Linked DNA regions of Arabidopsis thaliana. The protein of the gene in region 2 purifies or fractionates together with the protein of the main gene of each other region. This does not show direct contact. Each region holds a gene or a part of one and is shown on either strand. Other genes may lie near its edges.

The links. Proteins that work in one complex are often made in the same cells at the same time.
Region 1: the proteins of SBPASE (region 2) and PRK fractionate together in Arabidopsis thaliana (co-fractionation; one large-scale study listed by BioGRID). This does not show direct contact.

The regions. Positions count from the first base shown.
Region 1 is NC_003070.9:11,530,546-11,535,162, forward strand, and holds PRK (phosphoribulokinase), read left to right. Parts: upstream 1-1,653; 5' UTR 1,654-2,122; coding exon 2,123-2,646; intron 2,647-2,914; coding exon 2,915-2,999; intron 3,000-3,099; coding exon 3,100-3,184; intron 3,185-3,264; coding exon 3,265-3,509; intron 3,510-3,612; coding exon 3,613-3,861; 3' UTR 3,862-4,094; downstream 4,095-4,617. Other genes in the region: SCAMP5 (SCAMP family protein), read left to right, coding at 99-147, 230-295, 397-429; NSI (nuclear shuttle interacting), read right to left, coding at 4,306-4,382, 4,480-4,573.
Region 2 is NC_003074.8:20,707,443-20,712,156, forward strand, and holds SBPASE (sedoheptulose-bisphosphatase), read left to right. Parts: upstream 1-1,851; 5' UTR 1,852-2,197; coding exon 2,198-2,311; intron 2,312-2,400; coding exon 2,401-2,526; intron 2,527-2,617; coding exon 2,618-2,803; intron 2,804-2,894; coding exon 2,895-2,976; intron 2,977-3,066; coding exon 3,067-3,288; intron 3,289-3,363; coding exon 3,364-3,464; intron 3,465-3,543; coding exon 3,544-3,615; intron 3,616-3,700; coding exon 3,701-3,979; 3' UTR 3,980-4,198; downstream 4,199-4,714. Other genes in the region: AT3G55790 (uncharacterized protein), read left to right, coding at 838-1,149; AT3G55810 (Pyruvate kinase family protein), read right to left, coding at 4,263-4,714.

The DNA.
Region 1 (4,617 bases), on a different chromosome or scaffold from region 2:
ACTACAAGTAGAAGTGAGAATCTAGCTGTGATTCACCTCTGTATGTTTTGTTGCCTTGAGATTAACTTAAAAACCCTTTCTCTTATTTCGATCAACAGGGGTGTGCTTGCAGCAATTGATGTCATCTCAGACAGTTTATTAGCTGGGGTATGAGCTATACACCTATTTTACATTTCATGACGACGCCTATAATATATTCAATGTGTCTAACCCTAATGAATGATGGCAGATCTTCTACTTTATCGGATTCGGTCTCTTCTGCTTGGAGTCACTGCTGAGTCTATGGGTTCTTCAGGTAAGCCTCTGATCATACTTTTCATGGCTTCTTCAAAACTGTTGACGTTGATGAAACCAGTAAACATTTGATTGATCTGGTTTCCCATTTTGGCTTTGCAGAAAATTTACCTCTACTTTAGGGGAAACAAGTGAAAAGGAGATAAAGAGGAAGATGATGGTAATTTTCCCTTACGATATAAGGTCTGAAATATGTGTATCTCCTATGAATGTAATTACCATTTTACCGTTTGATGCGTTGTGTTGATTGAGGTAAATTCTTTAGTTACTATAGTAGCAAGAGAGAGTGGTTGTTCGGCCATTTCTTTATGTTTTTTACTCTGTTCTTCTCTGGTCTGTAATATACCAATATCGTCTCTTAGCTTTTGGGATTTTTTTTCGGCGAAGTGGATGGACTATTTAGACAAAAAAAAATCATAGCTATGAATTATTAGTAGCGACTCTCTTCGGTCTGAATCTTAGAATCTGGTCCTTCTGATTATCATTGCGTATAACAAAGTATAGATGTTTCGATATGGCCGTGAACTTTATGAATTTTTTTTTTTGCAAACACCATGACTCGAGAGAGATAAAACTTCGTTAAATTCTTCTGTTGAGCAAAATAAGAACTTTTTTTCATTTGCAAACTCCATGAGTCAAAACTCAAAAGAGATTAAAGTAATTTTTTTGGAAAGATTTAATGTGAGTCCATAGTTTTTACTTTTTAACCTAACAAATTCTCTGACCCGTTATAGTTTCATGCTTGACATGGAAGTTGTATGGTGGTTGGTGGAGACTACGTTCAATGTGTCCAAGAATAAGCAACTAGTGCCGACTCTATCGCGGTCGATAAATAAACCATGGTTTTGTTTTTTTAATCCCGATGTAATCTCTTTTACTAATTACCCTACGGTGAAATTCATGAGTAATAAACTTCTGGTATCTGTTCACAAAAAAAAAAAAAAAAAAAAAACTCTTGGTGTCTTTATTAATTGGTAGGCTTGAAGCCCATTGTTAAGGTAACGCAAGAAGGCTTTGATCCCTATAGAAAAAAATAAAAGCATAAAAAGGTAAGTTGTTCAAAGACCATAAAGATTCGAAGCCAAGGGGGGATATACGGTGACGTGTAAATGTGACCCACATAATACTCTCTCCTTCATCTTCAGACCTTAAACACCTAATCCCCATCTGTCCAATTAGAATCTCCCACGTGTCAATTCAAATATCCAAATCCCAAAAAAATAAGCAAATAACCACCAAGCAACGTCTCCCTCCATGCCCTGTTAGTTTTATCACTTCATCGGCAACTCCACTCCTCTCCCAAACTCTATTCTCCAAATTATCTTTTAGCCAAAAAAATCAAACAAAATTACCATAAGTTTATTACTTCATGAAGTAAATAAGATATGATCTTTGGTTTTTTAATGGCTATAAATGTTTTCTTATCCTCTTATCTTATCAACAACATCTTAACATAGAGACTAATCAACATTACAAACAATTTTACTTCAAGAAACCAAAACATGAGCCAATCATCACACAACCACATTAAACCAAAACAAAACAAAATAAAACTCCTTTTCTTCTCTGCAAATTGCCATCTGTTTTTCCTATAGACCCATTGTCCTCCTCTCATTTCTCTCTTTCCCCATTTAATCTTATTTTCAAAAAAAAAAAAAATCACATCTCTATATCACCACACAAAAAACCATAAAATCAAAAATCGTTACCCACATTTCTTTCATTCTATCCTAAATCCTCATCACTCAACCTGAGCTCACAAAGCTAAACAAAAAAAAAAGAGCTTAGGCGGAGAAGAAGAGGAGACCAAAACACCAAACAAACAACAATGGCTGTCTCAACTATCTACTCAACACAAGCTCTCAATTCAACTCATTTCTTAACCTCTTCTTCCTCCTCCAAACAAGTCTTCCTCTACCGTCGTCAACCACAAACCAACCGTAGATTCAACACACTCATCACTTGCGCACAAGAAACCATCGTGATCGGACTAGCTGCTGACTCTGGCTGCGGCAAAAGTACCTTTATGCGGAGGCTCACCAGCGTCTTTGGTGGCGCTGCTAAGCCACCAAAAGGCGGGAACCCTGATTCCAACACACTCATCAGCGACACGACCACTGTGATCTGTCTTGATGATTACCATTCTTTGGATAGGTACGGTAGGAAAGAGCAGAAAGTCACCGCTTTGGACCCACGCGCCAATGACTTTGATCTCATGTATGAGCAAGTCAAAGCTCTTAAGAATGGTATAGCCGTCGAGAAACCGATTTATAACCATGTCACTGGACTTCTTGACCCTCCGGAGCTTATTCAGCCTCCTAAGATTCTTGTCATCGAAGGTCTTCACCCAATGTAAGCTACACATACTCTGTTATGATACTCTGTTTTGTATCTTAGACATACTCAAATTTTAGAGTTTGGAAGTCTCTTATCTTGTCGGAATTTCGATGATTAAGAATCTGGACTTAGATTTATACTAGAATCAGTATCAGAATAATTAAAGATGGATCTTTGAATCTATGCATGTAGTGTGTGACACCGATTAATTTTTATTCGAATAATTAAGTCTATAGTTTTGGTACTTGTAATGTTTTATAATAATATTTATCTACTTGTGAAGGTTTGATGAGCGAGTAAGAGACTTACTAGACTTCAGTATCTACTTGGACATTAGCAACGAAGTCAAATTCGCTTGGAAAATTCAGGTGAATTTCTTTGAATAATTCAACTACATTTACACCATTTTGTGGAACGTTTTCGGTTTATCTTATAAAACTGAATCTGTAACGTTTTTGATGGTCACAGAGGGACATGGCTGAAAGAGGTCACAGTTTGGAGAGCATCAAAGCGAGTATCGAAGCCCGAAAGCCCGACTTCGATGCATTCATCGGTAACACTCCTAATTTCTTGATGTAACCCCGTGTCATATTCGGCTTGATCAGTTTATAATATTTTCAATGGCTTATACAGACCCGCAAAAGCAGTACGCGGATGCGGTCATAGAAGTGCTTCCTACGACTCTGATCCCAGATGACAACGAAGGGAAAGTGTTGAGAGTGAGATTGATAATGAAGGAAGGTGTTAAGTACTTCAGCCCGGTTTACCTGTTCGATGAAGGTTCAACCATCTCGTGGATTCCTTGCGGCCGCAAACTCACTTGCTCGTACCCTGGCATCAAGTTCAACTACGAACCTGACTCCTACTTCGACCATGAGGTACATTCATATTGCATAATGACATATTGTGAGAAATGAATGAAAATGCATGTGTATGAGAATTTAGACTCATTGCATATATCTCCCTTTTTGTTTCTCTCAGGTATCAGTTTTGGAGATGGATGGACAATTTGATAGACTGGACGAGCTGATTTACGTGGAAAGTCACTTGAGCAACCTCTCGACCAAATTCTACGGAGAAGTCACTCAACAAATGCTCAAACATGCTGATTTCCCGGGTAGCAACAACGGTACTGGTCTTTTCCAAACCATTGTTGGATTGAAGATCAGAGATCTCTATGAGCAGCTCATTGCCAACAAAGCCACTGCTCGTGCAGAAGCTAAAGCCTAAAACAAACGAAGCGAAGCCAAATAGAACGCGTCGATAAATACATCCGCAGTTTCTTCTTTTTCTTATTTCTTTCTTTCTTTATGCGTTGTTTACCGCGGATTTTCATGGCGAAAAGGACGGTCTTGCTTGTTTGTAATTTGTGTGGAGATAAAAAGAAAAAGCCTGTAATGTAGAGAAGTGAATAGCAGAGCAATAACAGTTCAGTTTATAGAACGCCTTCAAAATTTGTTCTTTACAGCATCAAAGTAGATTCAAACCACAAATCAACTAAGCAAAAGAAAGAACAGTTTTATCCTATTGATCATACTCATGTTGAATACTTGAATGTCAAATAGCTTTTGGATTACAAATTACACAGTTCAAACTTCCTTATAGATTCCATATAAGAAAGCAAAGAAATTATACATACAAGTAACAATCCCATTTTCTTGCAATCACCAAGTACTACTTTGGGTACCAAAACATGCCTTTGATGCCTTCTGGATCAGCCTCAAACCCCAAGTTCTGATAGAAATCCACAACTACAAAAAAGGAACACAGATTCAACAACTAAGTAAGAACAAATCCAAATATTTTGACCACAAAAATTGCAGATTAAACAGTGATTCGATGTTTTACCTTGACTATCTGCAAACAGAGATATGTTACCAATATCTCTTTGAAGAAGAGCCCTTACAAGTTTTTCAACAAGAGCTTTACCTAGCCCTTGACCCTGAAACGTGAAAACAAACACAAACACCAATTAACATCAAACAC
Region 2 (4,714 bases):
ACAATGGGTTTGTGCACAAAACTCTACTATAGCGCTATACTGCTATTAGTTATACCATACTAGATATAATAAGTCAACGTCAATGGTCAGAGAATCAATATCCTTAGTTGCTCTATTAATAAGTATGTACTACCAGTTCCATAAGATCTTCGACGAACCTTACAAAATCTGGTATGTAATGTGAACTTCCTTAAACATAGTTCAAATAGAAACCAAATTCCATAAATCAACTAATACGTTAAATGTGAATGCATTTTACATTTTTCCTGGGTTACGTTAGCCAACACTACTACAAGAGTTGATCAACATTATAAAACCTAGATTGAATAGTCAAGGCACGAAACTTGTGCGTCTTACCAAACAACATTAGTATTAATTTAAAATGTTTGGGAAAAACAAAAGATTCAAGTATTCAACCTTTGACATACACAAACAAAATTGAATTTATACGAAAAAAAAAAAACAATTTCGTATGAAACTCAATGAAGAAAGTTTCATTCAAAACATAATGAAGAAAGTTTCAAAATCCACATCTGATATGTGAAGATTGACGTATATTTGATTTGTGGTTTCTATTTCTAATTTGCCATTTCAATAAAACGATTGGATATGCAAGGATAAGTTTGACTTCAACATCTTGCTTCGGTCCGGACCATTTTCCATTTCTTTTTCTCAGAGGTAAACTAGAATAGTTCTTGAAAGTTATCATAATATAATAGTAATAATAAAAGTAAAAGATTGAGACGTTGGCGGGATGAAATTCGTATAAATAGAGATGTCTATAGGTGAATAACACAAACACATCTTGTTCTTTTTGAAGATAAACGGAAAAAAAAAATGGTTATACACAAATCAATTACCCCAATCGCTCTGATGTTACTATTACTACTAGCGATCCATGCACATATTCAAGTCGTTGGTTCAACCACTGTAACCTCTGTCTCACTAGCCAATCTGAAACATGAAACGTCTTCTGAGATCAATTTTCCAGTTTGGCGTCGGGAGCTTCGCGGTGGCGGAGGAGGAGGCCGTGGTGGCGGTGGAGGTCATGGTGGAGGAGGTGGTGAGGATTTTGGTAACGGATGTAGAAGCGATGTTCTACAAAGTTTCTTGTTCATGGTTTTTATAAGTTATTGGCTTTTAGTGTAATATAACTGAATATTGTATATAGATTTTGATTATGTTTTCAGTGTTACTGTTTGATTTGCTGTAATATTGGTTTCACTTTTTCTTTCATATCCTTTTGTATTGTGTATTAGGGTTTATTCTGTGTCTTGCACGGACGTTTGTGGATTTTATTGTTATATTTGTCAATGCTTATTTAATATGTAAAATTATGTAATAAACTAAAATTATTTATGGTAAACCAAATAGCTTTTTTGTGTTTAGTAGGGATTCTAGATCTTTCTCAAAGTTTTGAATTTAAAGATCTCTTGGTTCAAATCCATTGTGGAAAGGTTTATGATAAATGTTGGTAAAGTTATAGCCGTATGAGAGGCTATTGAGAGCTATTAGCCATTAATCAAACTAATGAAAATCAATTTACAATAACCAAAAACTGAACAAATGATTTTTTTTTCTAAGTTAACAAAAACTAAAATGAAAAATATGTAACAAAATCTTATAATATTCCCTGTCATTCCTTAGATATTAATGAGGAATCTTATGACATTCCAAAAATGTATATTTAATAATCTTTATAAATTTAAAATTATTATTTAAATCAAAAAATCAAAGTGGTGCAGCGGAAGCGTGATGGGCCCATAACCCACAGGTCACAGGATCGAAACCTGTCTTTGATATAATCTTTTTTTTTTGGCAGATATATTTTATACAAAAATAAACAACCAAATGTAATGTTAACTTCTACTTGCATAGCCACACAAATATAATTTGGTTTGTATGTCATTGGTGATGTAAACTGAAATTGAAGATAATAGAATCTCATAACCACACAAAAAATGAATGAACGCAAATCAAAGCCTCTCAACACATCTCTTTGCCTCGGTCTCTCTCTCGCCCAATTGCCCATCACCAGAGCTTAATCATATCTTCTTCAGTTACTGCCACGTGTCACTCTGACCGTGAACAGCCTTTATCTCTTCCAAGTCCACTTGTGTTCTTGATTATTTTGTCTTCACCATTCTCTCTACTCAAAGCTCTTCTTCTTCGATCAAAAAACCTCGAGCTTCTAACAATGGAGACCAGCATCGCGTGCTACTCACGTGGGATCCTTCCCCCAAGTGTCTCTTCTCAACGATCCTCTACATTGGTCTCTCCTCCTTCCTACTCCACATCCTCCAGCTTCAAGGTTCGTTATCCTTTGCACTTATGCTTATCTTCAGTGTAGGATTTGTTCAGTACTAGTGATTACTAATTGTAATAATTTGATAAAAGCAGCGTCTAAAATCGAGCTCAATCTTCGGAGATTCACTACGATTAGCACCAAAATCGCAACTTAAAGCCACAAAAGCTAAGAGCAATGGTGCTTCAACTGTGACCAAATGTGAAATTGGCCAAAGCTTGGTTGAGTAACACAAAGACTCAATCTTTATTCAAATTCTGTATTATGAAGATTCCATCTTTCAGTTAAAGTTTCTTACTTTTGAATGTATAGGAAGAGTTTTTGGCACAAGCAACTCCTGACAAGGGATTGAGAACTTTGCTGATGTGTATGGGAGAAGCATTGAGAACAATAGCTTTTAAAGTTAGAACAGCTTCTTGCGGTGGAACAGCTTGTGTTAATTCCTTTGGTGATGAACAACTCGCTGTTGATATGCTTGCTGATAAGCTTCTCTTTGAGGTTTTTTGTTACATTTTGAATTAACTTATGTCATAAGCTTTGTATCAGAAAAATGGTTCATTAGGTTTTGATTTGTGTATTGGTTTTATAGGCTTTGCAATACTCGCATGTGTGCAAGTATGCTTGCTCTGAAGAAGTACCTGAGCTTCAAGACATGGGAGGTCCAGTGGAAGGTTGGTTTTACATAAACTTAACTAACATTTCCGCTTCTTTAAATCGCGCGAAAAATAGTTATCGAAAGAATATGAAATTTATTTGGACAGGTGGGTTTAGTGTTGCGTTTGATCCATTGGATGGATCAAGCATTGTGGATACAAATTTCACTGTGGGAACCATATTCGGTGTTTGGCCTGGAGACAAGTTAACCGGAATCACTGGAGGAGATCAAGTGGCTGCAGCCATGGGAATCTACGGTCCACGAACCACTTATGTTTTGGCTGTTAAGGGCTTTCCAGGAACTCATGAGTTCTTGCTTCTTGATGAAGGTTTTGGTCTAGTCCTGTTTTATCAAGATTCCTTCTTTGGTAAGCTTTTAAACTAAGCTCAAAATTTTGCCTCAGGGAAATGGCAGCATGTAAAGGAGACAACAGAGATCGCAGAAGGGAAAATGTTCTCACCAGGAAACTTAAGAGCCACATTCGACAACTCCGAATACAGCAAGGTTCTTGCTTTGGATCGATCTAACTTTAATCTTTGCTCAAATCTAATCCTCACTCTGAATGCTTTTCTTGTGAAATCAGCTGATTGATTACTACGTGAAAGAGAAATACACACTGCGATACACCGGAGGAATGGTTCCTGATGTTAACCAGGTTTGTTCTTCTTCAACACTATAACAGGATTTTTTCTACTTGTGACTGGAAACTTGACTTTAGTAGTAACTTGGGTTTTTGGCAGATTATTGTGAAGGAGAAAGGAATCTTCACAAATGTGACTTCTCCTACGGCTAAGGCAAAGTTGAGGCTGTTGTTTGAAGTGGCTCCTCTTGGCCTGCTCATAGAGAATGCTGGTGGATTCAGCAGTGATGGACACAAGTCCGTGCTTGACAAGACCATCATCAACCTCGACGATAGAACTCAAGTTGCTTATGGCTCAAAGAACGAGATCATCCGCTTCGAAGAAACCCTTTATGGAACATCAAGACTCAAGAATGTTCCCATTGGAGTTACCGCTTAGAAACTCATTCAAAATAAGTGAATGCATGTTTATTTTTCCATAAACCGGATAATCTACTTTTCCCTTGGTTTATAAGAGAAGCAACAAAACTTGTGATACAAGTTTTTTTTAAAAATTATTAGTTTGGTTTGGTGTTAATCAAAATTTTAACAACTAAAAACAAATAATGAAATCTGTCTGAAACTTTATTATCATATGATCAAAAACAATGTTTAAGCCGAAATTAAAGTTCCATGACTTATTATTATTGAACCGAAAAAACTTAAACCGAAATAAAACTTGATTACTCAACGCTCACTATCTTCACAACAGAGGAACCATCAATCTTGTGCAACGCCACAATCGAATCTCCATTCTTGCAAATTCCCTTCGTCTTCGCGAATCCGATAGCCAAATTAATCATCTCCTCCGTTGCATCTTTGTTTGAATCCCTAGCCGATGATCCCGTCGCCACCACCGGAATAATCCCACGGTAAATCAAACCACGTCTCGCCACATGAGCCACCGAGTCCGAGCACGACATCTCTATATCATTCCCTTGAGCAATCTCAGGCACAATCACCGACAAAATCGGAACGCTCGGCCTGTATTTAGCCACAAGCTCCGCCGTGTAACCGCCTTTGGTGAGAACGACGATAGCCGACGCAAAAACACTCTGTGCCGTCGAAACAACTGAAGCAGCTAAGCTCTCGATCGGAGATAACGGTAACGAAAGCATTCCTAGGGTTTTCTTGT